Tamandua tetradactyla: one gene and its partners. The protein of the gene in region 1 purifies or fractionates together with the protein of each later gene. This does not show direct contact. Links are inferred from orthologs where the notes say so. Each region holds a gene or a part of one and is shown in the gene's direction. Other genes may lie near its edges.

The links.
Region 2: the proteins of CDKN1B (region 1) and CCND3 purify together in Homo sapiens (affinity purification with western blotting; 9 studies listed by BioGRID and IntAct, counting the BioPlex papers as one, with this or other methods). This does not show direct contact. The link is inferred for Tamandua tetradactyla from reciprocal best matches to the Homo sapiens genes CDKN1B and CCND3.
Region 3: the proteins of CDKN1B (region 1) and CCNB2 purify together in Homo sapiens (affinity purification with mass spectrometry; 3 studies listed by BioGRID and IntAct, with this or other methods). This does not show direct contact. The link is inferred for Tamandua tetradactyla from reciprocal best matches to the Homo sapiens genes CDKN1B and CCNB2.
Region 4: the proteins of CDKN1B (region 1) and XPO1 purify together in Homo sapiens (affinity purification with western blotting; 4 studies listed by BioGRID). This does not show direct contact. The link is inferred for Tamandua tetradactyla from reciprocal best matches to the Homo sapiens genes CDKN1B and XPO1.

What each region holds. Positions count from the first base shown.
Region 1 is NC_135333.1:75,264,085-75,271,829, forward strand, and holds the start of CDKN1B (cyclin-dependent kinase inhibitor 1B), read left to right. Parts: upstream 1-4,733; 5' UTR 4,734-5,241; coding exon 5,242-5,716; intron 5,717-6,251; coding exon 6,252-6,373; 3' UTR 6,374-6,381; intron 6,382-7,745. UniProt on the Homo sapiens protein: Important regulator of cell cycle progression. Inhibits the kinase activity of CDK2 bound to cyclin A, but has little inhibitory activity on CDK2 bound to SPDYA. Involved in G1 arrest. Potent inhibitor of cyclin E- and cyclin A-CDK2 complexes.
Region 2 is NC_135331.1:99,536,407-99,543,497, reverse strand, and holds the start of CCND3 (G1/S-specific cyclin-D3), read left to right. Parts: upstream 1-4,072; 5' UTR 4,073-4,192; coding exon 4,193-4,390; intron 4,391-5,214; coding exon 5,215-5,430; intron 5,431-7,091. UniProt on the Homo sapiens protein: Regulatory component of the cyclin D3-CDK4 (DC) complex that phosphorylates and inhibits members of the retinoblastoma (RB) protein family including RB1 and regulates the cell-cycle during G(1)/S transition.
Region 3 is NC_135340.1:74,930,717-74,938,513, forward strand, and holds the start of CCNB2 (G2/mitotic-specific cyclin-B2), read left to right. Parts: upstream 1-4,789; 5' UTR 4,790-4,977; coding exon 4,978-5,001; intron 5,002-6,900; coding exon 6,901-7,029; intron 7,030-7,120; coding exon 7,121-7,234; intron 7,235-7,797. UniProt on the Homo sapiens protein: Essential for the control of the cell cycle at the G2/M (mitosis) transition.
Region 4 is NC_135343.1:34,217,791-34,224,753, reverse strand, and holds the start of XPO1 (exportin-1), read left to right. Parts: upstream 1-3,952; 5' UTR 3,953-4,774; intron 4,775-6,963. UniProt on the Homo sapiens protein: Mediates the nuclear export of cellular proteins (cargos) bearing a leucine-rich nuclear export signal (NES) and of RNAs.

The sequences.
Region 1 (7,745 bases):
TACTGCTTCCAGCCCCTGTAGTTTTTGTGCACATGGCCTTCTTCCCATCCAGGGCCTACACTCTCTGAAGTCAGGGACTGTAACTTAGTCACCTCTTCTGTCTCCACACTGCTGAAAGTAACGCCTGGGGAAAAGATCTTACACACGGTAAGATCACATCATTCCATTGCTCAAAACCTCCCAATGCCCAGTGGCTTCCCATATCACTAAGAGTCAATGATAAAAACCCTACAGAGGGTAGGCCACAGTGGCTCAGCAGGTAAGAGTGCTTGCCTGCCATGCCCGAGGACCCGGGTTCGATTCCCTGTGGCTGCCCATGTTAAAAACAAACAAACAAACAAACAAAAACCCTACAGAGGTCTAGCAGTCCAACCTTGCTCAACCCTCTCCACTACTTGGGCCTCCTTACTGTTCTTCAAATACACCAGGCAAGATCCTACCTTATTGCTGTTCTCTTTATGGGGACACTCTTTCCCCAGATATCTGCATGACTTGCTTTCTCATATCCTTCCGGGCTTCCCTCAAAGACCATTTTCTCAGTGAGGCCTTCCCGGACCATTCTATTCACATCGCCACCCTGACAGCACTCTCTTTTCCTCTCCCCGGTTTGATGTTTCCTCATAGTATGTATCACCTTCTTACACAGTGTATATTTTACTCATTTTGTGCCCTCCCCTCCCCACTCTAGCATGTTAGCGTCATTCAAGTTTTTATCTGTACGAATGAGATACTTCTGTATCCCCAGAGCCCAGGATACTGTCTGGCACATAGTAGGTATTTAATAAATATTTGTTAAATCGAATTTAAAAAGCTGTCAGAAAAGGTGACTGAAATTCTGATCTCTTTAAAAACAAAACAGTTTGGGGGAATGGTGAGGGTGAGTTAATGCTACCTTGTTAAAAAAGCCCTCGAGGAAGGGTAAAAAAATAAATGTGTATTTGCACCGGGAGAGGCAACTGGGCAAGACACTGTGCACCTTGGGAGAACGGCTTGCGGCTGTATAGCATTGGGGAGAGAGGACTGCATCTGCGAACACCCGCGCTGCCCGCCCACACCATGTGGATACTTGTCTACTAGGCAGGTGCTTTCTTTTAAGTTGTTTGGTCTTTGCCTCTAGCAACTTGCGAAAGATACAGAACTCTGGGGTGGCCTACGTGACACTTCTCAGCTCTAAGTATGAAACCAACAGGAGTGAAAACAACAAACTAGGTTCTGAGTCTTGGGGAAGCAGAGCCCATTTTAGAGCAGCGCCCGCAGAGCAGAACTTTCTGTCCTCTACTCAGGCTCCGCCTTTGTACTGTTTATCTGAACATTTCTCCCTGGTTTACTAGCCTAGCCTGCAGCTGAATACTTTCCACAGGAGGATGGTGCTCTGATCTCCACGTTCCCTCTTCCCTCGGGGACTCCATAGTATTTTTTCACGCTTCGTCGCTACTACAGCAGACGCCTGCTTTCTCATTATTTGCTGTACAGATCTCCGGTGACTTGACTGTAAACAAAACACTTTAGATCATAGCAAGGTCATAAGCACAGCCTTTCTGCTGGCAGCCAGACTTCTTAAGGTGGCGTGACTGATTCATTTAGTTTTCAAGTTTAGCAAAGCAACAAAATGGTGTTCCTACCTATTAATCGAAGAAAAATTGTGTAGGGGATAAAAGTGTTACTCTTCCACTGTTATACAAGTGGAATTTTGTGTAATTCCACTTACGTTTTTACATGAATAACATCAAACTTCTGTGTAAGGTAATACTCAAGAATTTCTCCATTGACTTACATCTGGTAGTTTGTGTATTTGTGCATATTTACACACATGCACACATATAATATAGAATTCCTGTGTAGTCTAGAAAATATTTAAAAATTTGGACAAGCAGAAACTCTGAAACCCAGAGTTACCAGTGTCTACAAGAGTTCCAACATGTTGCATTCCCCTACCCCATAATATTGACACCCCTTTTCAACATGGAGAAGTTAGAATGGTCATTACCTAAATATCCCTAAAGAGTGGGAGAAGGATCAAGGGAGAAGGAGGAGTTCTAATAAAGAAGACAGGATTTAACCAATGAATATGACTACTGACTCATTATATTGGTATTTCTTTTTAGTCTCCACTGTCTTAGAGCAGCTAGGAGACTGCTCTAAGGTGAAATTTCAATTGAAAGGTGAAAATATTCCCCTAAGGATCAATGTCCATCTTAGGAAGTTTGTTATAAAGCTACTATGTCCTCATGTCTGATTTTATTATTTGGGCATTTATTTTTCTGCTCTCCCTTGAAACTTGAAACTTAACCATCAGTTTGGTCTTGAGCAAGGCGGTGGAAGTTAAATCAGGATGGGCAGGTCTGTCATATCTCAGACATAACTCAATGAGTCATTAACTGTCTCCCCCTACCCCAACTCCCATATCATACATAGAAATTTGTTCTCTAACTTCTTGTTAAAATATGCTTTGCAATTTACCACTTTTTTGTATATATGGTATATTTCACAATAAAAAATGTTTTAAAAAATTGGGCAAGAATGATCTAATTTCAAGGGTAAAGTATAAACTACCTGGTAATGAGGGCTGTTCTAACTTTCCTGTTCACCCATCCCCAATCCAATATTTTAAATGGGCCATTAAATGCAGAAAAACAAAGAGGATGAGAATGCCTACTTTGATCCCAGCTGAATTATTTTCTGTTGGTCAGGTAGGAAGCCCTGACTTTGAAACCACTTCTGGGCACTGTCTTTGTCACTCTTTCTGCATAGCACCTGTGTCCTTTTGGAATGTGCACTTTAGTTGAAGTAGTTGATAGTGATGCCAAAGGCCAGTGTCCTCTGCATTAAAATATCCGTGACCATAAGCCAAATTATGGAAACATCTGCAGGCAGTCTAGGGCCTGGGAAGGAGCCATTTTGAATCACTTGTACTAGAAGAGGACTTGCAGGCTACAGCACAAGGGAACTCAGACGGAAACGTGAACCAATGGGGATCATTAGAAAGGAAAGGAGCAGAAAATGAACCAGACTGAGAGTTAGGAGACCTTGTCTAGTCCTAACTCTGGTACCAACTGGATGTGTGTCCCTGGACAGGAAACCTCTCCAAGTCTCAATTTCCTCACTGGTCAAATAAGAGAGTTGAACCACGGGGTCCTGACAATCTTCCCAGCTCCAACCATTTTGGAGTGTATACAATGAGGAAGACATGTAAAATGGACAAACAAGATGTGGCTGTGAAAGCAAGCTAAAGAGCAAACTCATCTAGCATGAAGGCATGAGAAAATATTGTTGCTGTGTAATATTTGCAGTGAATAAATTTCCTGTAAAATGTCTTAACTTTGACCCAAACTAAAATAGTGTGTATTGGGAGCTGGGGTGGGAGGCAGTTAAAAACTCATTGGGTTATGTCTGAGATATGACAGACCTGCCCATCCTGATTCAACCTCCACTGCCTTGCTCAAGACCAAACTGATGGTTAAGTTTCAAGTTTCAAGGGAGAGCAGAAAAATAAATGCCCAAATAATAACATCAGACCTGAGGTAGCTTTATAACAAACTTCCTAAGATGGACATTGATCCTTAGGGGAATATGTTCACCTTTCAACAGCTTGCAACGCCTTAAAAGCGTTCACTCTCATCTGATTGATGTTCTGGGTGGGTTGGAGCAGTGAATCTGGTGGGAGAGAAAGGTGGAGGAAGGAAGGAGCTGTTGTGTTTGGCGCCGGGACACAGGTAGAGGAAACTGCTACATTCCGGGAAAGAATTATAAAGTATAAAGAGAAGGAGACGAGTCCCCACATGCAGCCAGTGTCAGTACCCTTAACTGTACTTGGGAAACAAGAACTTGAGCCAGGAGTATAACCTCACTTTTCAAACCTAAATGTATCTGAGATGGCTACAAAGTTTATTAAGGGACTTGGGAAACCTAGGGGACCAGTGCAGCTTTTGATCTCGGGACCCTTTCTTTTTTATTGCAGGAAAGCTTGAGTTCAGAATATATTAAAAATGCTGTCCCTACTCCCGGCTAATTTATAGAAAGCGGACAGCCCTGACTTCTACCCTAAGCCCCCTGACTCCCCTTGGATAACAGAGACTCCTGGATTAAGGATGAACTAATCACCGCCCACCTTCACTCCACAACTAAGACACTCAGGCGGGAAGGTGGTGGTGGTGGTATTCCCAACCCTTAGTAAATGTTTGCCGGCCTCCTCAGCAGTCCGCGAAGTGGGGGGCGGGGGTGGGAGCACTAGTGAGAGATCAGCAGACCAACGCTCCCGCACTCTGCCTCTGCCCCTCAACCGCCCGCACCCGGGGTCGGCGAGTGCTGGGAAAATAAGATCGCCACCGAAGCTCAACACAATCTGCAAGCACCCTTAGAGACCTTCGGGTCCAGCCCCTTCGCTTCACAGCGAGGAGCTAGAAGTCAGGTTTTACCAGCCGCAGCGGGCCAGACTGCGCAGCGCCGGGACCAGAACCCCAGGCCCCGCCTGCCCTGCCGCCGAGGCCCCTCCCCAGCTTCCCGGCCGTTTGGCTAGTTTGTTTGTCTTATTTTTAATTTCTCCGGGGCCAGCCAGAGCAGGTTTGTTGGCAGCAGTACACCTCCAGCAATCACGCGACCAGCCAATCTCCTTGCTGCACTCTCCGAGTCGGCGCGCCCAGACCGCGCCTGGGCCACCTTAAGGCCGCGCTCGCCAGCCTCGGCGGGGCGGCTCCCGGCGTAGCAACCAATGGATCTCTTCCTCTGTTTAAATAGACTTGCGGTGTCAATCATTTTCTTCTTCGTCAGCCTCCCTTCCACCGCCATATTGGGCCACTAAAAAAAGGGGGCTCGTCTTTTCGGGGTGTTTTTCTCCCCCTCCCCTCTCCCCACTTTCTCGCCACGCTGCGATTCTGACGCCGGCAAGGTTTGGAGAGCGGCTTGATTCGCGGGACCGGCGGGTTAGCTGCTGCCGGGACTTGGACTGGCTTTTCCACCTCCTCCCCCTGCCTCCTCCCCTCCGCTCCCCGCCCTCCAGCTCGCCCGCACACTTGATCCGCGGAGACTGTCGGCACTGCCTCTCCGGGGCTTCCCCTTCCCCCTCCCCCAGACCCAGTGCGCTCCTGAAGCCGGGGCAGTTACTTGTTAGTGTTTGTTGGTCTTGGCTCGGAGGGCATCGCGGGGCTTATAAAAGGGGGTTGGGTTGGATCGGGGCGTTTTGTTTTGTTCGGTTTTGTTTTTTTGAGAGCGCGAGAGAGGCGGTAGTAAAGACCCGGGAGGAAAATGTCAAACGTGCGAGTGTCTAACGGGAGCCCGAGCCTGGAGCGGATGGACGGCAGACAGGCGGAGTACCCCAAGCCCTCCGCCTGCAGGAACCTCTTCGGCCCCGTGAATCACGAAGAGTTAACCCGGGACTTGGAGAAGCACTGCAGAGACATGGAAGAGGCAAGCCAGCGCAAGTGGAATTTTGATTTTCAGAATCACAAGCCCCTGGAGGGGAAATACGAGTGGCAAGAGGTGGAAAAGAGCAACTTGCCCGAGTTTTACTACAGACCCCCGCGGCCACCCAAAGGCGCCTGCAAGGTGCCCGCACAGGAGAGCCAGGATGTCAGCGGGAACCGCCAGGCTGTGCCTTTAATTGGGTCCCCAGCAAACTCAGAGGACACACATTTGGTAGACCAAAAAACTGATACAGCAGACAGCCAGACGGGGTTAGCGGAGCAGTGCAATGGGATAAGGAAACGACCTGCAACAGACGGTAATGACCCTTTCAAAATAATAAAATGTCTGTCTGTCTGTCTGGGGCCCCGCTTTGCCTGGTTGGGGCGGGGGTGGGGGGGGCGGTGGTGGCCCACGTCTTTACCTAAAAGTTTTCTTTCTTTTCGGTGTACTTTGTTGTAGCTTTTGGTTGTGAACTTTATTAATCTTAGCTTGTACGTGCTACCTGACTGTTTGTTTATGATGTTTAAATCAGAAGCTGGAGATTGTAGTATCTGAGCATTTCTCTCACCGCAGTTCCCGCCCCCGCCCTGCTAGGCAGCTGTAGTAATGTGGGTGTTTATCAACGGTCTCCCTCTCCGCTAGGCAGAGAGAGATTTGGGGCGTAGAATTCACTTTCTGTTATGTGAAAACAACTTTATTTTGTGCACTAAAAGGCCACTGGTGATTGTGGGTAGAGGTGGTGGGCTTTTCATTCCACGAGTTGACTCACGGGCCAACTTTTGTCAGCCATTGCTTTTTTCTAACAAAGCTTGTTTGTGTTTTGTTTTCCTAAAATTCCTCCTTGCCCCTAGATTCTGCTCCTCAAAACAAGAAAGCCAACAGAACAGAAGAAAATGTTTCAGACAGTTCCCCGAACGCTGGTTCAGTGGAGCAGACGCCCAAGAAGCCGGGCCTCAGAAGACGTCAAACGTAAATCATTTGGTGGGTTGATCACTAAGGCATATAACTGACACCCAAACTGGGCTGCAGGAACCCGTGGACCTTCAGACTCCAAGATAGCTGATCTGACTGGTTGCTGGCAGATTAGGAGCTTATGGGGTTTTGTGATGTTTATATTTTGTGAGATCAGAAAAGTAGGATGAAGAAGGCTTGGAATCACTCTGGGGATACTGTAATTCTTCAACGTTTCCCTTGATACACTGAACTAGAACAAGTGTCCCAGGCAAGCAGTGGTAGTGAGGGCCCATTGCTAGGAATGTCATTTCCCTGTCAGCCCCACCAAAACATGCTGAGAACAATAGGTTCTTTCCCCATCTGAACAAAACTGGGGTAAGCCTCAGTCCCACTTCATGAGAATTCATTTCAGAGGTTCTGGAGGATTCAGTAGATTCTAAGCCATACACAGAAATGATTAAATTTAAAATTTGAGGGAAGAATTAGGTACAAATAACTCCATTTGGTTAATCAAGTGGTTAGAAATGTGAATAGGGTGGTATGTTGCTATCTTTTATCTTTTGTCACTTTCACAGACTGTCACTTTTCCTGTTTTCTTGCAAGTTTTTGGGAGAGAGAAGGAAACTGCATATTTAAAAAAAATCCAAAATGGAACGCTCAAATATACTAAACTATACTACAGTGGTAGCACTGAAGTTGGGAAGCAGAAGTTAAATTTACTCTACCAGAGAAGCAATCCATGACCACGTCAGCATGCGTATGCTAATCGTGCTGTAATAGAACGATTTGGATATTTGTAGGGGAAATGGACAGTAGATACCAGGGCTTCCTGAGGATAGATTTAACCAGTACAAGGGAAGGGGAGAATTCTGTCTACTAAAATCTGATCTACGCAAATAGCTAATTTGTATAATTCAGCACCAAATTTTCTTAGATTATAGCGATTTATAATAATGAAATTACTTATATTCTAATAGCTTACAGACTTTTTAAGGACAAGGACCCCGATATCTTTTTCCCCCCAAAAAATATACTATACTTAAATATCTGAATAAATGTTGATATTAATGTTTCAAATCATTTATAAAAATTTTAAAATAAAAACACAGGGATTTAAGTGGGAATCAAGTTTGTTCTATTTTTAAGCAATTTGGAATGTAATATATATGATTTCTCCTTATACGTGTGATATTTTTTAGAGCTTATACAAAACAGCACTATAGAACCTTTATATTACAGTTCTATATGAAATGAGGAAGTTTGTAAAAAAATTCCCTTAATACCTGAAGCTCTACTGGTCTGATAGCTTTGCTCTTCAAAACCACAGTAAATCAGATCTACTGGCACACAGAGAAGCATTTGTCCATAAATATTGCCAATTCAGGAATACT
Region 2 (7,091 bases), on another chromosome or scaffold:
TGCCATGTGGGAGACTCGGGTTCAATTCCTGGCCCATGTACTTCCAAAAAAAACAAAAACAAATTTAACAAATGGTCCTGCAATAATGGGATACTCACATGGAAAAAGAATAAAATGTGACCCCAGCCACACAACATAAAAAAAAAGAAGAATGTCACACCCTATACAAAAGTTAATTCAAAATGGATCAAAGATCTAAACATTAGGTCTAAGACCATAAAACAGTTAGAGGAAAATGTAGGGAGATATCTTACGAAACTTAAAATTGGAGGCAGTTTTATGGACCTTAAACCTAAAGCAAGAGCACTGAGGAAGGAAATAAATAAATGGGAGCTCCTCAAAATTAAACACTTTTGTGCATCAAAGAACTTCATCAAGAAAGTAGAAAGACAGCCTACACAATGGGAGATAATATTTGGAAATGGCATATCAGATAAAGGTCTAGTATCCAGAATTTATAAAGAGATTGTTCAACTCAACAACAAAAAGACAGCCAACCCAATTACAAAATGGGAAAAAGACTTGAACAGACACCTACCAGAAGAGGAAATACAAATGGCCAAAAGGCACATGAAGAGATGCTCAGTGTCCCTGGCCATTAGAGAAATGCAAATCAAAACCACAATGAGATATCATCTCACACCCACCAGAATGGCCATTATCAACAAAACAGAAAATGACAAGTGCTGGAGAGGATGCGGAGAAAGAGGCACACTTATCAACTGTTGGTGGGAATGTCAAATGGTGCAACCACTGTGGAAGGCAGTTTGGCGGTTCCTCAAAAAGCTGAATATAGAATTGCCGTACGACCAAGCAATACCATTGCTGGGTATCTACTCAAAGGACTTAAGGGCAAAGACACAAACGGACATTTGCACACCAATGTTTATAGCAGCGTTATTTACAATTGCAAAGAGATGGAAACAGCCAAAATGTCCATCAACAGAAGAATGGCTAAACAAACTGTGGTATATACATACGATGGAATATTATGCAGCTTTAAGACAGGATAAACTTATGAAGCATGTAATAACATGGATGGACCTAGAGAACATTATGCTGAGTGAGTCCAGCCAAAAACTAAAGGACAAATACTGTATGGTCCCACTGACGTGAACGGACATTCGAGAATAAACTTGGAATATGTCATTGGTAACAGAGTCCAGCAGGAGGTAGAAACAGGGTAAGATAATGGGTAATTGGAGCTGAAGAGATACAGACTGTGCAACAGGACTAGATACAAAAACTCAAAAATGGACAACACAATAATACCTAATTGTAAAGTAATCATGTTAAAACACTGAATGAAGCTGCATCTGAGCTATAGGTTTAGTTAGTTTGTTTGTTTGTTCGTTTTTTTGTTTGTTTTTTTGTTTTTTTGTTTTTTGTTTTTTACTATTATTATTACTTTTATTTCTTTTCTCTATATTAACATTCTATATCTTTGTCTGGTGTGTCGCTAGTTCTTCTAAACCGATGCAAATGTACTAAGAAACGATGATCATGCATCTATGTGATGATGTTAAGAATTACTGATTGCATATGTAGAATGGTATGATTTCTAAATGTTGGGTTAATTTCTTTTTTTTTTCCGTTAATTAATAAAAATAAATAAATAAAATAAAATATGGTGCCTGGCAAAAAAAAAAAAAATGAGCACAACTCACTTGTTTTCTAGCAAAAAAAAAAAAAGAAGAAGAATGATAAACAAAGAACTAAAAAAAAAATTGCAAGGCATATGATAAAGAAAAAAATATGAAAAGAGTTAATAGTCTTGAAATGTAATCGGCACATATAAATCAATAAGAAAACAAGAAGTATCCCCATAAAAGAATGAGCAAAGGACATGAATAATTAATTTACATAAAAAGTATAAAGTCTAATAATGTCAAAATATATTTATTACTACTAATAACAAAGCTGCTTTTCATCTCTTCAGTTGGCAAAGACATTTTATAGATACCCTGGAATACCTTGTTTTATTGCACTTCACTTTATTGTACTTCACAGATACTCCGTTTTTTACAAATTGAAATTTGTGGCAATCCCATGTCAAGTGAGTCTATTGGTGACATTTTTCCAATGCCATGTGCTCGCTTTGCGTCTCTGTCACATTTTAGTTAAGGTATGCATATTGTTTTTTTAGACATAATACTTTTGCACACTTAATACACTATAGCTTAGTTTAAACATAACTTTTATATGCACTGGGAAACCAAAAAATTTATGACTCACTTTATTGCAATATTTGTCTCATTGCGGTGGTCTAGAACAGAACCCGCAATATCTCTTGAGGTATGCCTGCACCCAGTGTTGGTGAGAGTGGATTGGTTCAGCCTTTCAGGAGGGAAATTTGGTAATAAGAATTGTATCAAAAGCCTTAGCATGTTTCATAACCTTAGATTGAGAAATTCCACTTCTAGAAATTAATCCACTTCTAGAAATAATCATGAGTGTGCACAAAGATATTATTACAGAAATGTTTTAGTTTGGGTTTTTTTTCTAATAGGGAAGAAGGAGAAAGCTTAAATTTCCAACAATGCACATACCTGTTTGGTAAAACACATCATGATGCATTCACCCAGTGGAATTCTATGTGGCCATTAAAAATGATGCTTTTTACTTCTTACTGGCATGGAAAAGTGTTAATGGTAAATTTTAAATGAAAATATTAATTTACAAAGCAGTTTGTGATGATGCCATTTTTGTAAATCTGTGTGTATTTATTCCTAGAACAAAGATTATAAAAATAAACATTTTAAAGGATTATTTCTGGGCAGTGAAATTACAAGTGATTATTATTTATCTTCTAAATTTTCTACAATGCAAATGAATATTTCCATGATATGAAAAATACAACAAACTTTATTATATAGAAAAGAACAATTCACTGAGAAAATGCTTAGCATAGATAGAATATGCCTCTTCTATACAGTGTCATATCTCTAATAACTCACTTCCTCAGTGTTTCCTAAGTGTGAGGGTCCCCAGGAAAGGCAGGGATCCCCAAGAACTTCTCTCATTTGGAGCATTACTGGGGGCCTGTGGTTTGCCTCTTGGTCCTGTGGAATCCAGCTTGGGAGAACACAACAAAGTATCCCAGGTTTGGGAGGTGGAAAAGAAATGGCAACTGTCAGGTTTTATAAAGTCTGAACCAAAAACTCCCTCGGTGAGGATCTGTTTCCTCTGCCCACGTTTTCCCCAAAAGGGAAATTAACTAAGGTTGAGTATGAGGGCTTGTCCAAGGCCACACAGCCAACTTAATGACAAGTGAGACCTTGAATCGAAGTCTTTCCACCCTGTTGTGTTTTTGTAATGAGCTGATTCAGACCAACTTTCTCTCACTTCACTCGGTATAGGAATTACCTGGGGATTTTGTTAAAATGCAAGTTCTGATTCAGTAGGGCAGAGGTGGGGGCTGAGAGTCTGCATTTTATCTAGTTCCCAGGTGATTTGCTACTGCTGCTACTGTTACTGCTGCTCTGGGGACCAAAGCGTGAGCAGCAGTGGTGCAGAGCAGATTCTGGAGTCAGAGGGCCAGCTTTCCAACCTTAGCTCTGTCACAGACTGACTGTATGACTTGATAACTTCTCTGTGTCTCAGTTTTCTAATCTATAAGTGTACTACCTTACAGTTTTTTTATGAAGATTTAATACGTTATTACATAAGTGCTTAAAACAGCGTTCAGTAAGAACTAGCTATTAGATTTCCTAGAGCATGCAGTCGGTGAGGTAGGGTTTGATGAATGAATACATGAATGAATGAGTAACCTTTGGAGAAAAGTTCTTTCATTGGCGATTAGAGTCGGAGAAGCAAAAAAGGAAGGCCCGGGTTGGTGGGAAAAGTCCCACCTCCCAGAAAGTTCTTTCCAGGAGGGCCCGGAAGTCAATGCGGCCGCCCAAGCGGGGGAGGGGCAAGAGCCCTGCCGGCCTTTCCTTCTGGGGCGCCGGCGGCCCCGCCTCTTGGAACGTTGCGACGACTGAGCATTCCTCGGTTGCTACATCGTCGCGAGGGGCGGGGCGCCTGTCAGGGAAGAGGCGCGCGCGCGCGCAAGCGGCGCGCGGGCTGGGGCTCCGCAGCTCACTGCCAGCGCCAGCGCCAGCGCCAGACCCGCGCCCCGCGCTCTTCTGCCGGCCGCTTGCGCTCTGGCTTACCAGCCCGCACTCCCGCCTCGCCTGCGTGCTGCCGGAGAATGGAGCTGCTGTGCTGCGAAGGCACCCGTCACGCGCCCCGGGCCGGGCCGGACCCGCGGCTTCTGGGGGACCAGCGTGTCCTGCAGAGCTTGCTCCGCCTGGAGGAGCGCTACGTGCCCCGCGCCTCCTACTTCCAGTGCGTTCAGAGGGAGATCAAGCCGCACATGCGGAAGATGCTGGCATACTGGATGCTGGAGGTATCTTCGGGACAGGCCCACCCCTCCCCCGCACCCCGGACTCCGGACATCCCGGGGCCGCCCTGTTGGGGCATCTCGGTCCCAACAACAATCAGCAAGATGCTTCGGCGACCCAGACCTCTGGGGCCTAGCGTTTCACTTGGGCACCTAGCTGACTACCTACGTGGTGTTCCCTTCCCTTCCTCAACTATGATCGATTCCTTCCGACACTGCCTTCCAGTCCCTTGGCACCCTAACCCTTCTGTCTTCGGGCCGGGAAAGCGGGACAAGGGCCATCCTCTCCCCTCCGGCCTTTTTCTGCTTCTCTCCCTCCCCCGCTTCTCAGGAGAGCGAGTCTGGAAAACTCAGGACACGTCCGCCCCCGCCCCAGAGCCGGTTCCTGTGTCTTGTCGCGGGGTTCTGGCGGGGAAGGCGGTGGGGGTGGTGCGCGCACTGTTCCGGCCGTCAGGGAAATGAAAAGTGGGGGAGTCGCCTCCCTTCCCTTTGGGTGTGTGCAGTGGGTGATGGTAATTGGGGGAAGGTCCTAGCTCCCCGGCTACCATGGGTGCCTCTTCCGTTCCCTCTCGCTGTGGGGGAGGGGATCCTCATTTTGGAATTATTGGAAAGAGACCGACTGAACGAAGGGCTCTCCTCTTGCCTCTCTCCTCGGGGGCTAGAAGGAGGAGGCCACGCAGAGGAAGCGGGGCGGGGGTCACCTTGTGGAGTGTGTATGTACTTTATCCCCCCGTCCATTTTTGCTCCCCATTCCACCAGCGCCCCTCCCCCATAGTGCTGCTGCCTTCCCCTCGTCCCTGCCCTAGAAGTGACTGTGCGCCCTCCCCCAGGTATGTGAGGAGCAGCGTTGTGAGGAGGAAGTCTTCCCCCTGGCCATGAACTACCTGGATCGCTACTTGTCCTGCGTCCCTACCTGTAAGGCGCAGTTGCAGCTCCTGGGTGCGGTCTGCATGCTGCTGGCCTCCAAACTGCGTGAGACCACGCCCCTGACCATCGAAAAACTGTGCATCTACACTGACCACTCCGTCTCTCCCCGCCAACTGCGGGTGGGTAACCTCCGCTCCCACCCCCTCTCCGGGTACCTTCCCAGGAAAAGGAAAGCAAAGACCTCTTTAGGAAGGGAGCAAAGTCTTTGAGGCAAACCGCGGCTAATTTTTGAAAGGAATCCCAGTGGCAAAGAGAGATGAGGCAGTGGATAATGGCTTGAGCTGTCAGCGTGAACAAACCCTCCTCCTCCTGACCTCCAGGGGGCGCCACTCTTTTCTGGTCTTTCCCCTAGATAGCAACGAATAAATGCGTGTCTTCAGACCCTAGTACTCTGCCTCTGGGTTTACACAGCCCCCGTGGGTTATTTATTGGCAGCAGAAAGGTATGCTTGCACACCACCGCTGGAGTGGGGGAGTGGAATGTGCTTCGGTGGCAGGGGGTGGGGGCGCTGCCTTGATACAGTCTTCATCCCTATGTGGGCTTTGTGATAGAAAAGCCTTCCAGAGCAGATTAAAGCCAGACCCTGATTGCTCTGAGGAGGGGCTGAGATGCTTCATGCCACCCTTTTTCCTTCCCCTTATATTCCAGAAAAGACTTCCTTCCTAACCCTCCATTCCGTGCCTTCATTCCGAGGAGCTTGAGCAGCTGCTTTGGGCCTGGTGGAAACATCTCCCCCTTTCCCCTTAGCCAGAGGCCTGGGCGGAGGGACAGACAGGGAGCTGAGTTGCAGCTGCTTCCGATGTGATAATGATGCCCCCTCCCCAGCCTGCTCACTCTGACCAAGCTCTTTCATAACCCTGTGGGGAGCTGCTGTCACCCCTGTGGTTTGGGAAGTGGCTCCCTGGGCCTCTTGCTGGGAACTTAGGTTGCACTCCTCCTAAGGCAAGGCAGGGGAGTCACCCCGTTTTTTCCTACTGAGCCTGGGGACAAGGAGAAGGAGCTGCTTGAACCTGGAAGAGGTTATTTAGGGTGTGTTGTAGATCATTTCCTGGGGGGCTTCGAGGAGAGGGTGGGTGAGCTGGCACCATCCTCCTCCTTGCTCCTGGCCTCCCAAGTCTCCTGACCCTGAGAGAAGTCTCTGGGCCCCATCTCCCAGGGAGGAGGGCAGCATGCAGGCTGCTGTGATTGGCTGGCTGGGAAGCCAGGGTACTGGGGCCTCTGACTGCTGTGAGTTTGTGAGTCGAGGAACAGGATTCTTCCTGCCAAGTAGCTCTCAGAGATGGGAGTAGGAGGCCAGAGTCAGGAATCTGGGAGGCCCCACAGCTCTTTGTGATGAATCTGGTAGTTTTTGGCAAGTCTGGAGGTGGAGCTGGTTTCCAGGGCCAGCAAGCAAGATGTTTGGAGGGCTTGGACTGGAAGGTAGAAGACTTCCTTTCGTGAGAAGTCTGGGATGGTGCGTATGTTTCTGTGAGCGGAGTTTTTCAGAACCGTCAAAAAGCACTCTTGCCTCATTCCCTCTGAGCTGGTGGTGGAGTATGCAGACAACTTCCTAGAAGGTTAGTGTTGGAAGGGACCTCAGAGAACTCCAGTCAGTCCAAATCCTTGTGCAGCAGAAAAGGTAGGAGGTCCAGAGGAGGGAATTGTTCTGCCTCAGCATTGCTTTGAAGTGGGTGAGTTTAGAATCTGGGTTTTTCTAGCTACACCAGTTGCCTGGAAGGCTAGGATATAAGGGAAGCTGCCAGCCACTGCAGCTATGTGCTCCCAGGGCTATGTTCTCTGC
Region 3 (7,797 bases), on another chromosome or scaffold:
ATTCTTGAAGATGACTGTATAAAGATATAACTTTTACAATGTGGGTGTGGAATCATGAAAACCTTGTGTCTGATGCTCCTTTTATCCAGGGTATTGACAGATAATTAAAAAAATATGGGTAGGGTGGGCCACAGTGGCTCAGCATGCAGACTTCTTGCCTGCCATGCCAGAGACCCAGGTTCAATTTTTTACTTGCCCATGCAAAAAAAAAAAGCCTGTATATAGATAGATAGATAGATAGATAGATAGATAGATAGATAGATAGATAAAGAATAAATAAATAATAAGGGGAACTAAAGGTAAAATACATTGGGTATATGGAAATGCTAGTGGTTAGTGAGAGGGAGGGGTATAGGGTACATATATGAGGTTTTTTCTTTTTATTTCTTTTTCTGCAGTGATACAAATGTTCTAAAAAATGATCATGATGATGAATACACAACTATGTAATGATATTGTGAGCCATTGCTTGTATACCATATAGGGAATGTACGTGAGTGAAGATTTATCAATAAAAATTTATTTTAAAGGAGGAGGAGTTATAACAGAGAAGACAGGATTTAACAAATGAATATTACTGCTGAATCATTATACTGCTATTTCGTTTAGTCTCCAGTATCTTGGAGCAGCTAGAAGGAAAAAACTGAAATTATGGAACTGTAACCTATACTAAACTTTGAAATCTGTTGTATAACTACTTGTTACAATGGACTTTGAATTATATTGCATTTTTGTATATATGTTATATTACACGATAAAAAAAGTTTTTAAAAAAACTTACTGCAGGAAGAAAAGCCCAACTGAACAGAAAAACATTACAATGATTATTTGTGATACAAGAAGATTCTTCTTTCTACATAGGAACTTTAAAAATCATTTCTTTTATAGTTATCTTCCCAGTGCATTTGAAACACAAATTGATTTACCAATAGTCAATTTTTTTTTGCAACATTCCAGGAACATTATAATGAGGAGCTATACTTTCCTTTGTGCTTCCAGTGTCTTTAAAATGTGTCTTTGTAAATTCAGTATATTATCATTAATTTAATTTTGCACCAATAAAGCTAAAGTGTTCATGAGCGTTGAAAAAAAAAAACAAAAATACAACAAAACAAAGGAAAAACAAAAAATGAACAGAGAGAAACAAGTGCTAAAGAAAATGTGGAGAAAGAGATGCATCTATTCACTGTTGGTAGGGAAGCTGAGAGGTGCAGCCCCTTGGAGGGCAGTGTGGGGGTTCCACAGGAGGCTAGGGGTGGGATTGCCATATGATCCTGCAACCCCATTGCTAGGTATATACCTGGAGGAACTGAGTATGGGGACACGAATGGATATTTGCACACTGGTGATTATGGTGACAATGTTCTCGATCCACAATGGATGGAAGTGGTCTAAGGGTACAACGACTGAGGGTAGGAATGAGGAACTGTGGCATATACATACAATGGGCTACTGAACACTGAAGAAGGAATGAAGCCGTGAGGCATACAACTAGGTGAAAGAACCTTAAGGACTGTATATTGAATGAAATGACAGAAGCAAAAAATAAAAAATATAATACATCAGTCATATGGACTAGTTATGATATACAAACTTGGTGTACTGAAGTTGAGAAGTTATCAGGTTGGGACCTATTGTAAAGGGTCCTAGATTGTAAGCTTTTACACCAGTCACATATATTCACGAGTTGCAACTGTTATTTCTAAATTCTGAGATAGTGAGCTATTTGTGTATAACATGGTCTTTCACAGAAACTTCAGATATTTATGTGACACTTGAGACACTGAGCTAGAGCTCGGAAGCTATGAAACTCACCATTAGAAGCTATGAAACTCACCATTACCCAACACAGAAATTGTTTAAAAAGTTGAAACAGTGATCAGACTTTGACTAGAGATATGAATGAATCTGATCCGGATAGGAGTAAGGTAAATCAGAATTCAGGGTAAAGGGTGATATGGTACTTTTGTGTGAGACCAAAGGGAAAGATGTTTATTTGGTGCAAAGTTTGTATTTTGGGTTGCGCATTACCTAATTTAACTTTTATGGTCAGTTTAGTTGAATACCAGAAGTACATGGAATCTTGAATAGGGTGTGAGATCTTGTTTGTCTGTGCAGGTAAGTGTGAGGCTCCAATATATCCCAGAGTATTTTGGGCAGAGAATAAAAAAGTATTTGCAAAGTCCCCTTGGGGACTGGGGAGAAAGAAGGAAATATTCAACTTCCCCATTTAGGGAATTCCTGATATTTTTGCAAGCAGTGGGCACAACCAAATCAATAGGCTTAGCCCTCGATCATGGGGTTTGCCCTATGAAATTTACTCCTGCAAAGGGTAGGCTAAGCTGATTATAATTATGCCTGAGAGTCATCCCCAGAAACCTTTTTTGTTGTTCAGTTGTGGCCTCTCTCTCTAAGCCAACTCAGCAGGAGAACTCAGTGCGTTCCCCCGCTATGTGGGTCATCACTCCCAGGGCTGCAAATCTCCTTGGCAATGTGGAACGTGACTCCAGGGATGAGCCGGACCCAGCATCAAGGGATTGAGAAAACCTTCTTGACCAAAAGGATTAAGAGAGAAATGAGACAAAATAAACTGTCAATAGTTGAGAGATTTCAAGCAGAATCGAGAGGTTATCCTGGAGGTTGTTCTTATGCATTATATAGAAATCCCCTTTTCAGTTTATGGTATATTGGAGTGGTTATAGGGAAGCACTTGAAACTGTTGAGCTGTGTTCCAGTAGCCTTGATTTTTGAAGACAAATATAATGACATACTTTTAACCATGTAATTGTGTGGCTGTGAAAATCTTGTGTCTGACGCTCCTTTTATCTAGGGTATGGACAGAAGAGTAAAAAAAAAATAAGGATAATAAATAAATAAATAATAGGGGGTGGATAAATGGTAAAAAATGGGGTAGATGGAAATACTGGTCGTCAATGACAGGGAAAGGTAAGGGGTATGGGATGTCTGAGTTGTTTTTTTTTTTTTTCTCTTTTTATTTCTTTTTCTGGAGTGATGCAAAGGTTCTAAAATGATCATGGTGATGAGTATACAACTACGTGATAATATTGTGAGCCATTGATTGTATACCATGTATGGACTGTATATATATGTGTGAAGATTTCACGATAAAAATATTTTTTAAAAAGTAGTATTATCAGAGACATGTTAACTGTTCCCAGCTTACATTTCTTCATCTGTTCAACTGAGATAATAGTCCTACTTTGTAAGAATTTTTATGAAGATTCAATGAGAAAGTTTATGTAAATTAGTACATAGGACATGTGATCGATAACTGTCATTTAAGACAGGAGGAAATAGAAAGTAAAAATACCAGAAGACTACAATGCATTAAGAGGTTGAAAAAAAGAGTTGGTGTAAGTGTCGGGGTAATTGCACTAAGGAATACAAAACAACAAATCTTTCCCCTATCTTTTAATAAAGATATCTCCTGATAATATGGATTAAATCACTAGATTTTGACAATATCTAGTAATCTTTCTAGAGTCAGTTAATAAAAGCACTTCACTCTTCCTAACATTTCTGTCTTCAAAGTCCTGGGAATTGCCAAGGGTTGTTAGTTTTATGTTGTATCTTTTGCTAACACTACAATGTAACAAAGGCAAACATACAATGATTTTACTCACAATCCCGGTGCCCTAAAACAGACCTATTATAGTACGTGGAATCACTAAATATATTCCTGTGCCACAAAGTAGCCAGAAGTATTTCCGTTTTACAGAAGAGGAAACAGGTTAAAAAATGTCAGATGCCTTAAAGCCAAAAGCGGGTGAGGCAAGGAAGGTATTTAACCGTGGTCTCTTAAATCGTCATTTAAACCTTACCCTACCACCTTGATCATCTGTACCCGAGTAACTGAGAGGTGAACCATAATTTTATTTTTAATTTTTTTGTTTTTGTGGGCCATAATTTTTAAACAGCGTCATAAAATAGGAGTGATGGGAAAACTTGTGGATTGAGCCTGATATCACGAGTCATTCCATTCACTGCTGTGCTGTGGGCATTCTACCATTCCCTTCCTCTTTCCTCTTTCTCGTTCTGTCTTGACTTTCATCACCCACTTCCTTCTTCTCTCTTTCAAAGCAAACATCCCAGTTCTTTTTGCAGTCGCGGATCCACTCTTCTCTCCAAGGTTGGGGGTCACACCTTGTTTCTTATTTTTAAAACCGTCTTTCGTCATAGGACTGACCGGATTTCCAACAAATACTTACTAAGCACCGCCCATTTGTCCGCTGTTGTGCTAGGTGCCAGGAGCACAAAGGAGAATCGTCACACAAATCGCTGTTACCCTTTGTTGTTGTTGTTGTGTTTTGCCTCTCCTTGGAACTCAGTTTTAGAGAATTCCCACTCCTTCAGCCCGCGTTGGAGGCTCACCATCTAACACCGCGCAGCCCTCAGCCGGCGCAACCTCAACTCCAACTCGACCTTTTCGGCCGGGGAATAAAGGTCGGAAATGGCATTTCCAGGGTACTCTCTAGAACCAACTTCTGCCCACCCAGTACAAACGAGAAACATCCATAGGCGAGGACATGTCAAAATTCAGGGAAGGCTTCCTACGTCTGCTTTCCCAATAAGATATTTTTCTTTTTCTTAGACGCCTGGGTTAAAAAAAAAAAAAAGAAAAAAGAAAGAAAGAAAAAAAAAAAAGACCGAGAACGGGAGGGGGGGGAGGGAACTCGTTGTTGTGACAACCAAAAAGGTTACGGGAAATCCAACCAATCAGTGTGCGGGAATGCCTCCTGGCTTAGCCAATGAGAAGAGCGCGCCGTACGTAGGGCCGCCCAATGGGGGCGCGAACGGCGCGGTATTTGAATCCTGGAACAAGGCGACCTCGCTGAAAATCGCCAGCGGTGCGGGTGGGAAGGGCTGACCTAACGGCGCCGCGGAGGCTTGTGCCCTCCCTCTCCAGACCGCGTCCCTCCTTGGGCCCGGCTGTCACTCTTGCCTTCCCTGTCCCTAATGGCGCTGCTCCGACGCCCGACGGTGAGTGGGCCCGGCTGCCCCTTCACACGGGCCGGCCGCTTCCGCCCTGCAGTCCCCTCGCCCTCCTTTCGCTTCTCTCTCTTTTCGGCCTTGAGTCTGGTCATCCCAACCAGTGCTACTTTTCGCCTCTCCGGGGCTCCTCGCTTCCTCTGCATTCCGGGCCCAGTGGCCGGTCCTCCCTGGTCGGCCTCTCGGCGCCTCGGTTGGCCTCTGCGGGTTCCCTCTCCCTGGTCGGGCCCCTCCCTGCCCTGGGCTGGGAGAGGTGTAGGAAAGCGCTTCGGGGATGTACCTGTCAATGAGCCCCCAGACCCCAGAGCTCTGGACCTTCCTTGTACACGGAGGGCGAGTCCCAAGTGCCCATTGTTGTTAAAGCGCTATCCAAATGGAGGTTCGTGGGATTTCCTCCTCCTTCTTTCATAACTCTGCTTGTTAAGGGATCTGTGGTGGGTGCGGGAGGAAAAACCGGAAGAAATTCTGAATGTTGGATCTAGCAACTGCCATGGCCTGCCCCACCCTCTCACCCCCATTTCTCTTTGTCTGAGCTTCCCATTTATTACTGCGCAGTAAGTCTTGTAAGCTAAGCTCACTAATGTTTGTCCTTAATTTATTTATTTTTTTACTTCAATGTAATACAAAGTTTGCCTATAATTTGGATCAGTATGGCATACCGGGAGAGAAGGGTTCAAATTCCTTTATTTCACCTTTGCAGAAATCACAGTGTTAGGTTGTTTCAGATGTTTGTCCTGTACCTGGACCTACTTTTCCTTTGCTGAAAACATGAGGGCCTGACCCACCTGAGTTCCATTGTCCTGACTGAAATGCTAGTTAAAAGCTGCCAATTTTTCCTTCCAGATGAATTTTAACTTAGGCACATTACCAGGCTTCAACCCATCAGCATTACCCAACTTTGTTGTTGTTGTTTTTAAAGTTGACAGTTGCTCTGGAAAAATTGAACATGGGAATTTTGCGAATCGTAATGTGTTGAATACTTTCAACATTCAGTTCATCCCATCATGAATCTAAGTTGAATGGACAAGTAATTTTTTTTTTATCCCCCCCTCTCCCCACCATGTTCTTTACTAGTCAAATTTTTTTCTGTTCAAGAAGACTTGGGTTTTCTTCTGGGCCTCTGTCTCTCCTATCTTACCAAGTGGTATCCTGGTAGCTCCACTCAAACCCCTGGTTGGGAACTTTCTTAGGATTGTGAGCCTGAAACTCTCAGAACATACTACTCTGTCTCCTGAAATGTTCAATTAAGATTAAATAATGATTTTTACTTCATACAATTCAACCTTCCTTAAATTTGAGACAAAACTGTGAGACAAAACTTTGTTACCCCCAAAACCTATTTTCTTTCTAAGTATTCTTAATATGAGAGAGCATGCTATAGCAACTTCATTTTAAAAAGCACTGTATCTCTAACATCATGTCAAAGAACAGACACTTCTTATTTTTACAGTGGCATGAGAATCAAAGCTAGGTTAGGTTTTAAACCTCTGCTTTCTAAAAATCAGCCAGCCCTATTATAGCTTTTAAATATTGTGTCCTAATTATATTTGTTATCAGTCACTGTAAAGAAATGTTTAAAAATAGATGCCTTTGATTTATAATAATCTCTAAATGATGGGTGCTACATGAGAGATAATCGCTTATCAGTGAAGCTTTCAAGCTTCTTACAGTCTGCTTTATCTTTATTTTAAATACATTGGATGAGCAATTTGCTTAGCTTAGAGTGATGTTATCAATCATAAATAGCATTTCTGTATTCCCTAAAAATGTATCTTTTCCCTCTCACACATCTCAGCATATTTACCTTTCCCAAAGCAATTCTGAATTTTAGTATCTGACATTAGCAAAGTACTCTAAATTCTCAACTCTTTATTGATTTTTTTTTCATAGGTATCCAGTGATTTGGAGAATATTGACAAAGGAGTTAACCCCAAAGCTAAGAGCCATGTGACCATTAGGCGGGCAGTTTTAGAAGAAATCGGAAATAGAGTTACAACCAGAACAGCACAGATAGCCAAGGTAACAACCATGAAGTCTGTGGCTTGTGTGCAAGGGCACTTAGAGGCAGTACTGGTTGGTTTGTCCTCTTTACATTTCTGTTTCTTTCCAGAAAGCTCAGAACACCAAAGTACCAGTGCGAACCATCAAAACGGCAAATGTCAACAAACAACTAAAACCTACAGCTTCTGTGAAACCAGTACAGATGGAAATGTTATCTCCAAAGGTAGGGAGTTCGGAATTTGTAAACATATTTCCTGAAGTAGCTGGTTTTCAGCTACACCGCAGGAGGGCCTTGTACCTGTCACTATAACTTTTGAAAAGCATATCTACAGCTCTGCTTTGAAACAGAAATGAATACATGTATATATATATGTGTTTGTATGTTTATGTGTGAGTGTGTGTGTATATATATATATATATATATATATAAAACCCTTATCAGTTATATGGTTTCCAAATATTTCTCCCATTTTATAGGTTGTTTTTTTCAATTTCTTGATAATGTCCTTTGATGCACAAAAGGTTTAATTTTGATGAAGTCTGGTTTATCTTTTTTAACTTTTGTTGCTCACACATTTGGGGTCATATCTGAAAATCCACTGCCTAATCCCAGGTCATGACGATTTGCCCCTCTGCTATTTTCTAAGAGTTTTTTAGTTTTTAACTTTTAGATTTAGGCCTTTGATCCATTTTGAGTTAATTTTTGTATATGGTATAAGGGTAGGGGTCTAACTTCATTCTTTTGCATGTGGATATCCAGTTGTCCCAATACCATTTGTTGAAGAG
Region 4 (6,963 bases), on another chromosome or scaffold:
ACTATCTCCTAATAAGATATTACAGAGAAGCATTTTGTCCAGTGCATCCCTTCAGATCATATGAAGTTAGACTCCTTGGAAGAAAAAGCCCAGTGAAATACAATTTGAGCTCAATACCCGAATATGTGATTAGTTAGACTCATGGTATTTTTAGTTCAAGTGCCTGCTTTTTATCTCTGGTTGGAAGAAATCTATGTTGGAAGGCCACTACTATATCCCTCAGAAAAAAGTGGTATTAATTTCCTCAAAAACAGTGAAAAGACCAATGCCATTATTAAAGTAATAGATTTATTGCTTATCTTTTCCTTATTTTTCTTACTACATTACATGTGCATTTAATATTATTATTTATATATTCCTTGAGGAATGCAGAGTCATTGATGTTGCTTTCACAGCCCAAAGGTCAAATGTATATGCAAAGATTGCCCATTTGAATCATCAGACTCTGTTTGTGACTATAAAGAACTTCCTTATAGATATGTATTATGATCTGATCATCTGTTTAGGAAACAGCAAATACCGATGGGTTTTATGTGAAATAAACAGGCACTGTTCACACATTTTGTTTGATATGTAAATTGATAACATCTTCCAATATTTATAACAATAACAAATATATGTACCTTCTGAAACAATAATTCCACTTTTAGGACTTTAACCTAGAACTATATTGACATTTGTGCACAAGGATAAATGTACCAAGATATTCGCTGCAGCATTATTTGTAAGAGAGAAAACCAGAAATAGCCTATAGGCCTCGGCGGAATGGTTGAATCAGTTACAGTACCAAGACAAGGTGGAAGACTATGAGGCTGTTAACAAGGATGAGGTGGATTTACACATTCTGGCTTGTTGAGTAAAAAGTAAGTCACTGAATATATGTAGTATGACATCATATATGTTGAACAAAACACAAAGCAAATATGTTTATAAATGCTTAGAAAATATCTCAAAGTATGCACGGTATTCTGTTAATGATTATCTCTGAGAGTCAGAAGGTTGGGGGAAGTATACGAAGGAGGACTTTAAATTTTTACTGTAGTTATGGACTTCTCTTTCTCTTATTTCTAACAATGTTATTGTTTTGTGAGACAATGTTGAGTAATAGAAAGACCAGAAATTTAGTTCTAATAGTGATCCAACCACTTTGGGGTGGTATATGTGTGTCGGAGTGGCAGGGGAGAGAGTATGTTAGAGAGAGACAGAGAAAGAGAAAAATCTACAAAATAATAACTCTCTCACAAAACTGCTGTGAGAATTCAGTGAAATACTGTACAAAAAGTCCTAACACCCTGCTAGATACCAGATACACATTCAATATGGTTTATATACATTTCCCTATCCATATCTCACTCTAAAGTTCAAAATCTGTTTGCTTCCAACAAATGAAAAAAGTACTAGACAATTAATACGTCAGACCTCGTGTTTCGATTTTGATTCTGAAAATATGATCAAACTCAATTATCTGCCCCACTCTCTTTTTTTCTTGTTTTTTTAACTCACTTTTAAGTTTTTAATTTATTATTAATTCAAAATATTTTATATGATGTTTTAGTTTGTTAAGCTGCTGGAATGCAATATACCAGAAATGGAATGACTTTTTAAAAAGGGAATTTAAAAAGTTACAGGTTTACAGTCTAAGTCCATGAAAATGCCCAAATTAAGGCACCAACAAGAAGTTATCTTCATTCACGAAAGGCTGATGCCAACCAGAACACTCCTGTTAGCTGAGAAGGCACATGGCTGGCATCTGCTGGTCCTTAGCACCTAGGATCCTTGCTTTCAGCCTGTTTGCTGTGATTTCCTCTTTAAGTGTTTATGGGCCATCACTTAGCTCCTAGAGAATATAACTCTGGGTTCTGGCTTGCTTAGCATCTCCTGGGAAGGTGCATGCAAGTCAGTCCTTTTTGTAGTTGTTAATTAGACAACAAATTTATTTTGAATGTACCATTTTCTGCCACAAACTCTTCAGCTAACCCCAGGCAAAAGATGAACCAAATATTTACATCTGATTCACTATGGTCAGACAGATATGACCTCTTGGGGTGTGATTTAAAGATAGGATGAAAAGGTTAAAGTTGGGGATAGTAAACAGAGACTATCTGAATTTTACAATCCACAAAGTGCTTTATGATTTACACTGTTCCCTTGCTAACATTATTTCATTTGATTCTCAACACTAATTCTGTGAGAGAGGCATGGAGAATGTCAGCCTCATTAAATGGGGAAGAAGGAAACTGAGGCCCAAAGAGGTGAAGTGACTTGCCCAAGGTCACATTCCAAGTAAAGCCAGGTCTTACTCCCAGCTGTTTTTATTCCTACTATGCTTCCAATCTCAAAAATCAGGACCTTGTGGCCTGGTTCTAGAGCTTAAAATGGTGGGAGGGTGAACATTTTTAAAACAGGACAGTCCCAGTTTTTCTGGTAATAGAACATAAGTATTCCAAATGATCAGTATATATCACATACATTATATCTTATACCATATATTACATATCCTCTGGATTAGATTTGTTACGATTTGATATGATTCCCTTAGACAATGAATAAACACTCTATGTCTGAAACTCATCCAATATCATTTTGGTAAATCTAAGTGTTGGGTTGTTTTTGGGGTTTTCTGTAGTGGAGGGGCAGGAGTCATTCTTAAGTGGTGCTATTAGCCATTGCTCATTGTTTGCATTTACTGAAGAAAACTCCGTTGGTTTAATAAACTATTTATCAACCTCTTGGTGGCAGAGCGGGCTCAGTGAAAGTTTTGGTGGGCTGTTCTCAAGCAAAGAACAATTAGCAAAGCTGATTTGGAGGGCACTTCAGGACAAACAAGAGGTAACCACGTGAAAGGCCACGAGCGTGTAATTTTCATAGAAAATACCATTTGATGATGATGAAGTTGTGAAGGGCATCTAAGCTGAAAAGAAAAACGGAGAGTGGGGGCAGATCAAGGACACCAGGTGGGAGGCAGTTGGTATGCAAGTTTAACAAGCAAAAATAAACGCTGTTAAACCAATTGCCGGGGTACAATTAGTTTTTAGAATGTACTTCTAACCAGGCAGGGTTGGTTGTTGAAGCAGCCAAATTCCAGCCTGAAGAGACATAGCGCTAACATTTAAAGAGACTCGTGCCCAAGAACTACTCGGGTATCTTTTTCAGGATAATGAGATTACCAAGCGCAGGGGGTACACGCCCCACCTTATCCAGACCTCTTTCACGGTTATTCTCACCCTCAACTCTCTGGCCCAAACCCACTCTTAAAGTGGGTTAAAGTGGTCCGGGGCCTACAATCGGCCTCCGATTTTTACAAAAAATTTTAACCTTTTTTTCCCACCCCTCCCGATTTAAAAAATAAATTTAAAAAAGGCGTGCCCTCCGTTTTGGGAGCGTAGCCCGCATGCGAGAGGCGGGTCAGATCCCCGCATGACCAGGCCCCCCGCAGGTTGGCGGGAGCCGGAGGGGGCGGGTCGGCGCAGGTCCGGGAGAAGTCAACCCAACGGAGCCGCGCGCCGCGAGGAGACTCGCGCAGCCACCAGCTCCCGAGCTGCGCCCCACCCTCTCCGTCACCAAACGCGCCCAGCCAATGAACGGGCCGGAAAGGCTGAGCCTGCGGGCAAAGAACTGGGAGGGGGAGCCGCGGGAGGGGGAAGGGAAGTTGGGGGGCGGGTTGCATTTGACTGACAGCTCTCTTGAACCAATCCTCCACGCGGCGTCGCTCTCTCCCTTCTCTGCTGGGCTCAGCTCTATGCCCCACCACCTCCTCCTCCACCCCCCCTTCTCTCTCGCTTTCGACCCGCCCCACTTCCCCTCCCCCACTCTGCGGGCAAATCGCTGCTGGAAAGAGGCGGGGGCCGAAGCGGCGGGCTCGTATGGAGCCTTGAGGTGGGACTGACGGGCGATCAGGCCAATGAGAGCTAGAATGATGGCGCGGCTGTGGCTGGAACCGACCAATAGGCGGGTGGGCTGGGGGCGGAGGCCCAGGTTCCAAACGCTCCGCGGCGCCATGGGCTGAAAACTCAACCGAGATGGAATCTCCCAGTCTGAACCGGTTTCAACCGGTTCCGAGTTTGAGGCACTAGGAGGAGGGGGAGAAGCGGCTGCAGCGGCCGCGGCAGGAGCAGCGGGAGCTACAGCATCAGCAAGAGCAACAGTAGCTACAGCCCCGGCGGCGGTGCCTGTTCCCGTCTTTGCTGCTGCAGTCCGTGCAACCACCCAGAGGGGGAGGGGGGAACCACCAGCCGCTGAGAAGCAGGAGAAGGGGGGAAAGTTTAGGCGAGCCTGGGTGGGGGGGCCCAGCGCCGGAGCCGCGTGAGAGAGGGAGCCGTATTTTGGTGGTGGGGGGAGTCGGACTGCAACTGGCAGCAGAGCGTCCCCCCGACCGTGTGGACTCTACACCCCCTACTCCTGCCGCTCCCGCTGCTGCCTGTGGCTGGAGGGTCCCCCTGGGGCTGAATCTTTGGGACTTGACCCCGTTCCCCTCCCCCTTCCCTCACTCCCCGGCCGGGCGGGAGCATTTGTTCCACAGATTAATCCCCTTTCTTTTTTGGGGGGGGGGGGCGGGTGTGTGTGTGTGTGTTGGGGGGAGGTGCCCCTGAAATAGTAAATATTGTTCAGCTTTTTTTTTTTTTTTTGCCATTTTCCTCTCCTTTTTAAAATTTTTCCTTTTTTAAGGTGGGAAAACTGAGAAACCCACCTTGATTTCCTCCCCTCTCCCCCTTCCCACCTTCCCTCGCCCTAATTCCCCGAGAAGGAAGGAAGAAGCAGTTGGTTCAATCTCTCGGTAAGTCGACTGTGTCTTCGGGGCCGAGGGGCGGGAGGCGGTGGCCCGGCGGGAGGAGGCCGGCGTGGGGCGGGCGGCGGCCGCGGGAGGCGAGCTTGGGAGGCGGCGGCGGCGGCGGCGGCGGGCCGGGGGCGCGCCGGGCCCAGAGAGGATCCTGCGATTGAATGGAGCCTCTTCTGCCGCTGGGGGATGCAGGCGGGGAGGCGGCCGCGGGAGGGGAGCGCCTGCTCGGTCACTCGCGTGTGCGGGTGGCCGTGGAAGAAGGCAAGGAGCGTGGTAGTGGAGCGAGGCCCTGCGCGGGAGTGGAAGAGAAGTTGGGGTGATTTCAGGAACATCTCTAAATTATCAGGAGTGGAAGTTTCCAGAAATATTTAGTGCAGCAGCATTGAAACGTCCGCCTGCATCACGTGGCCCGCTCCAGTGGAGAGCTTGGGATCTGGCGAGGGAGGGGCTGCCGAGTCCCTGTTCCTCCTGCAAGGAAACTCAAAAGCTTTCTGGCTTTTATCAGAGTGGGATGAGAAGTAGGAAAGATTAATTTTTTTCACGGCTCTGTGAGCGGGGTTCCGTGTTGTACTTTCTTGTTCCGACATGAGAGTGTAAAGAGATGGAATCGTTTACTGCTGGCATTGTAGAGTGTATGATGCCCTGATCCTCCTTCATCCCGATGTCTCCCAGTTTGGGGAGGTGGGAGGAAGTGGTGTGGTAGAGGAAGCATGAAATATTTGCCGAGCCGGGACCTCTGAACAGGCCGAGGCCATGCTGCATAGAGAACGGGGCGGTGAACTTAAGGCTGCTGGTCTAAAAGCCTCCTCCGAGTATGGGCGGGGTGAGTGCGTGCTCCAGTATGCTATAGTTAGAAGTGCTGCAAATCGGTTCGAGTGGGAAGCAAGGGAGGGCGGGCCTTAATGAGGTGTGTTTCTACTGAATGAAGCAGGCGATTGCCCATACACCTAAGTAGCAGTCTGTTGCCTTGTAGCGACTTGTTTTTTGACCTGGTGTGAAGTAATCATAATCATTAAGCAGTGGTTATGATTTTCTAATTTTTGGATGGTACCTGGCAGTGTGTACGCTGCCTGCCTAGTTAGTTTGAAGTGGCAGTGAACATGTTTTGGTAGTCACTTGTAGAGTCACAACTTTGCTGGATAATCCCTCAAATGTGCTATCCAGTGAGTGGATTTTAGGATTGAGGGCCCAAGGAGAAAAGAAAGCATTAGTGGTTTCTTCCCACCCACTATAGCTGTTTACTAACTGCTTGGTTGTATATCTTGAGCGGGACACTGCTGTTGTGGAAAGAATGTTTTGGAAGCTGTTTGATTTGGGGTACTAAATGTGCTTGGCGTTGACCACAAAGCCGCCATGTCTGTATTAGTACAGTTCAAGAATAGGTAGGTCATTTTGAACATAACCGCTAGTTCTAATAATGGCAAAACTATTGTATTTAAAGGCTCCTATTCCAAACGTGATTTTTCACATGACTGTAGCTAGGAGAATTCTGCAAGGACAATGTACTTGAAAGTGAAACTTTTCACGAGTTACTTGATTGATCCTTTTTCTATTTTAGCTTTTTAAAAACTGACAGCTAAATAGGGAGAAAGTTCTTTGCATTTTTAACCAAAATAATTGAAAACTTATTTTTGATAGGCTTTTCAGTCTCACGTTTTTAAGATTGTTCTGTGGCACTTGAAGGGAATTGCTCATTTATTTGTGGAATGTGTTTCTTTTTTTATATTAGCTATTTAGACCTAAAGCATTTATTATGGTGTATATAACAGACATGGTTTTTAAAACATGCTTGCTTAATACCTGCTATGAACAATTTTGAAATCTCGTAAGTTTTAGTTGCCACTAATGAACCATAAGACTTCAAAGGAATAAAAAATATCCTTGAATTATTACTTGATTTTTTTAACATTATATCTAATTTAAATAACTAATTTTTTAGATTTCTAGTTTGTTGTAATTAAAATTATCTTTAAAATTTTTTTTAGTTAAACTACTGTGAAATAGTCAAGAAATAACACATTTTTCATATCAAGCTAGTTTGTCCAAGGTGGACTCAAGCAGTCAAATCCTGGTAATGAAAAGTTTTCAAGAGGGGTAGAAGTAGAGATGACCATCTGACCTTGTTTCTCAATAACACTAAACCAGGGTTTCTAAACTTGAGGTTTCATGGGTGACTTTCAAGGTGT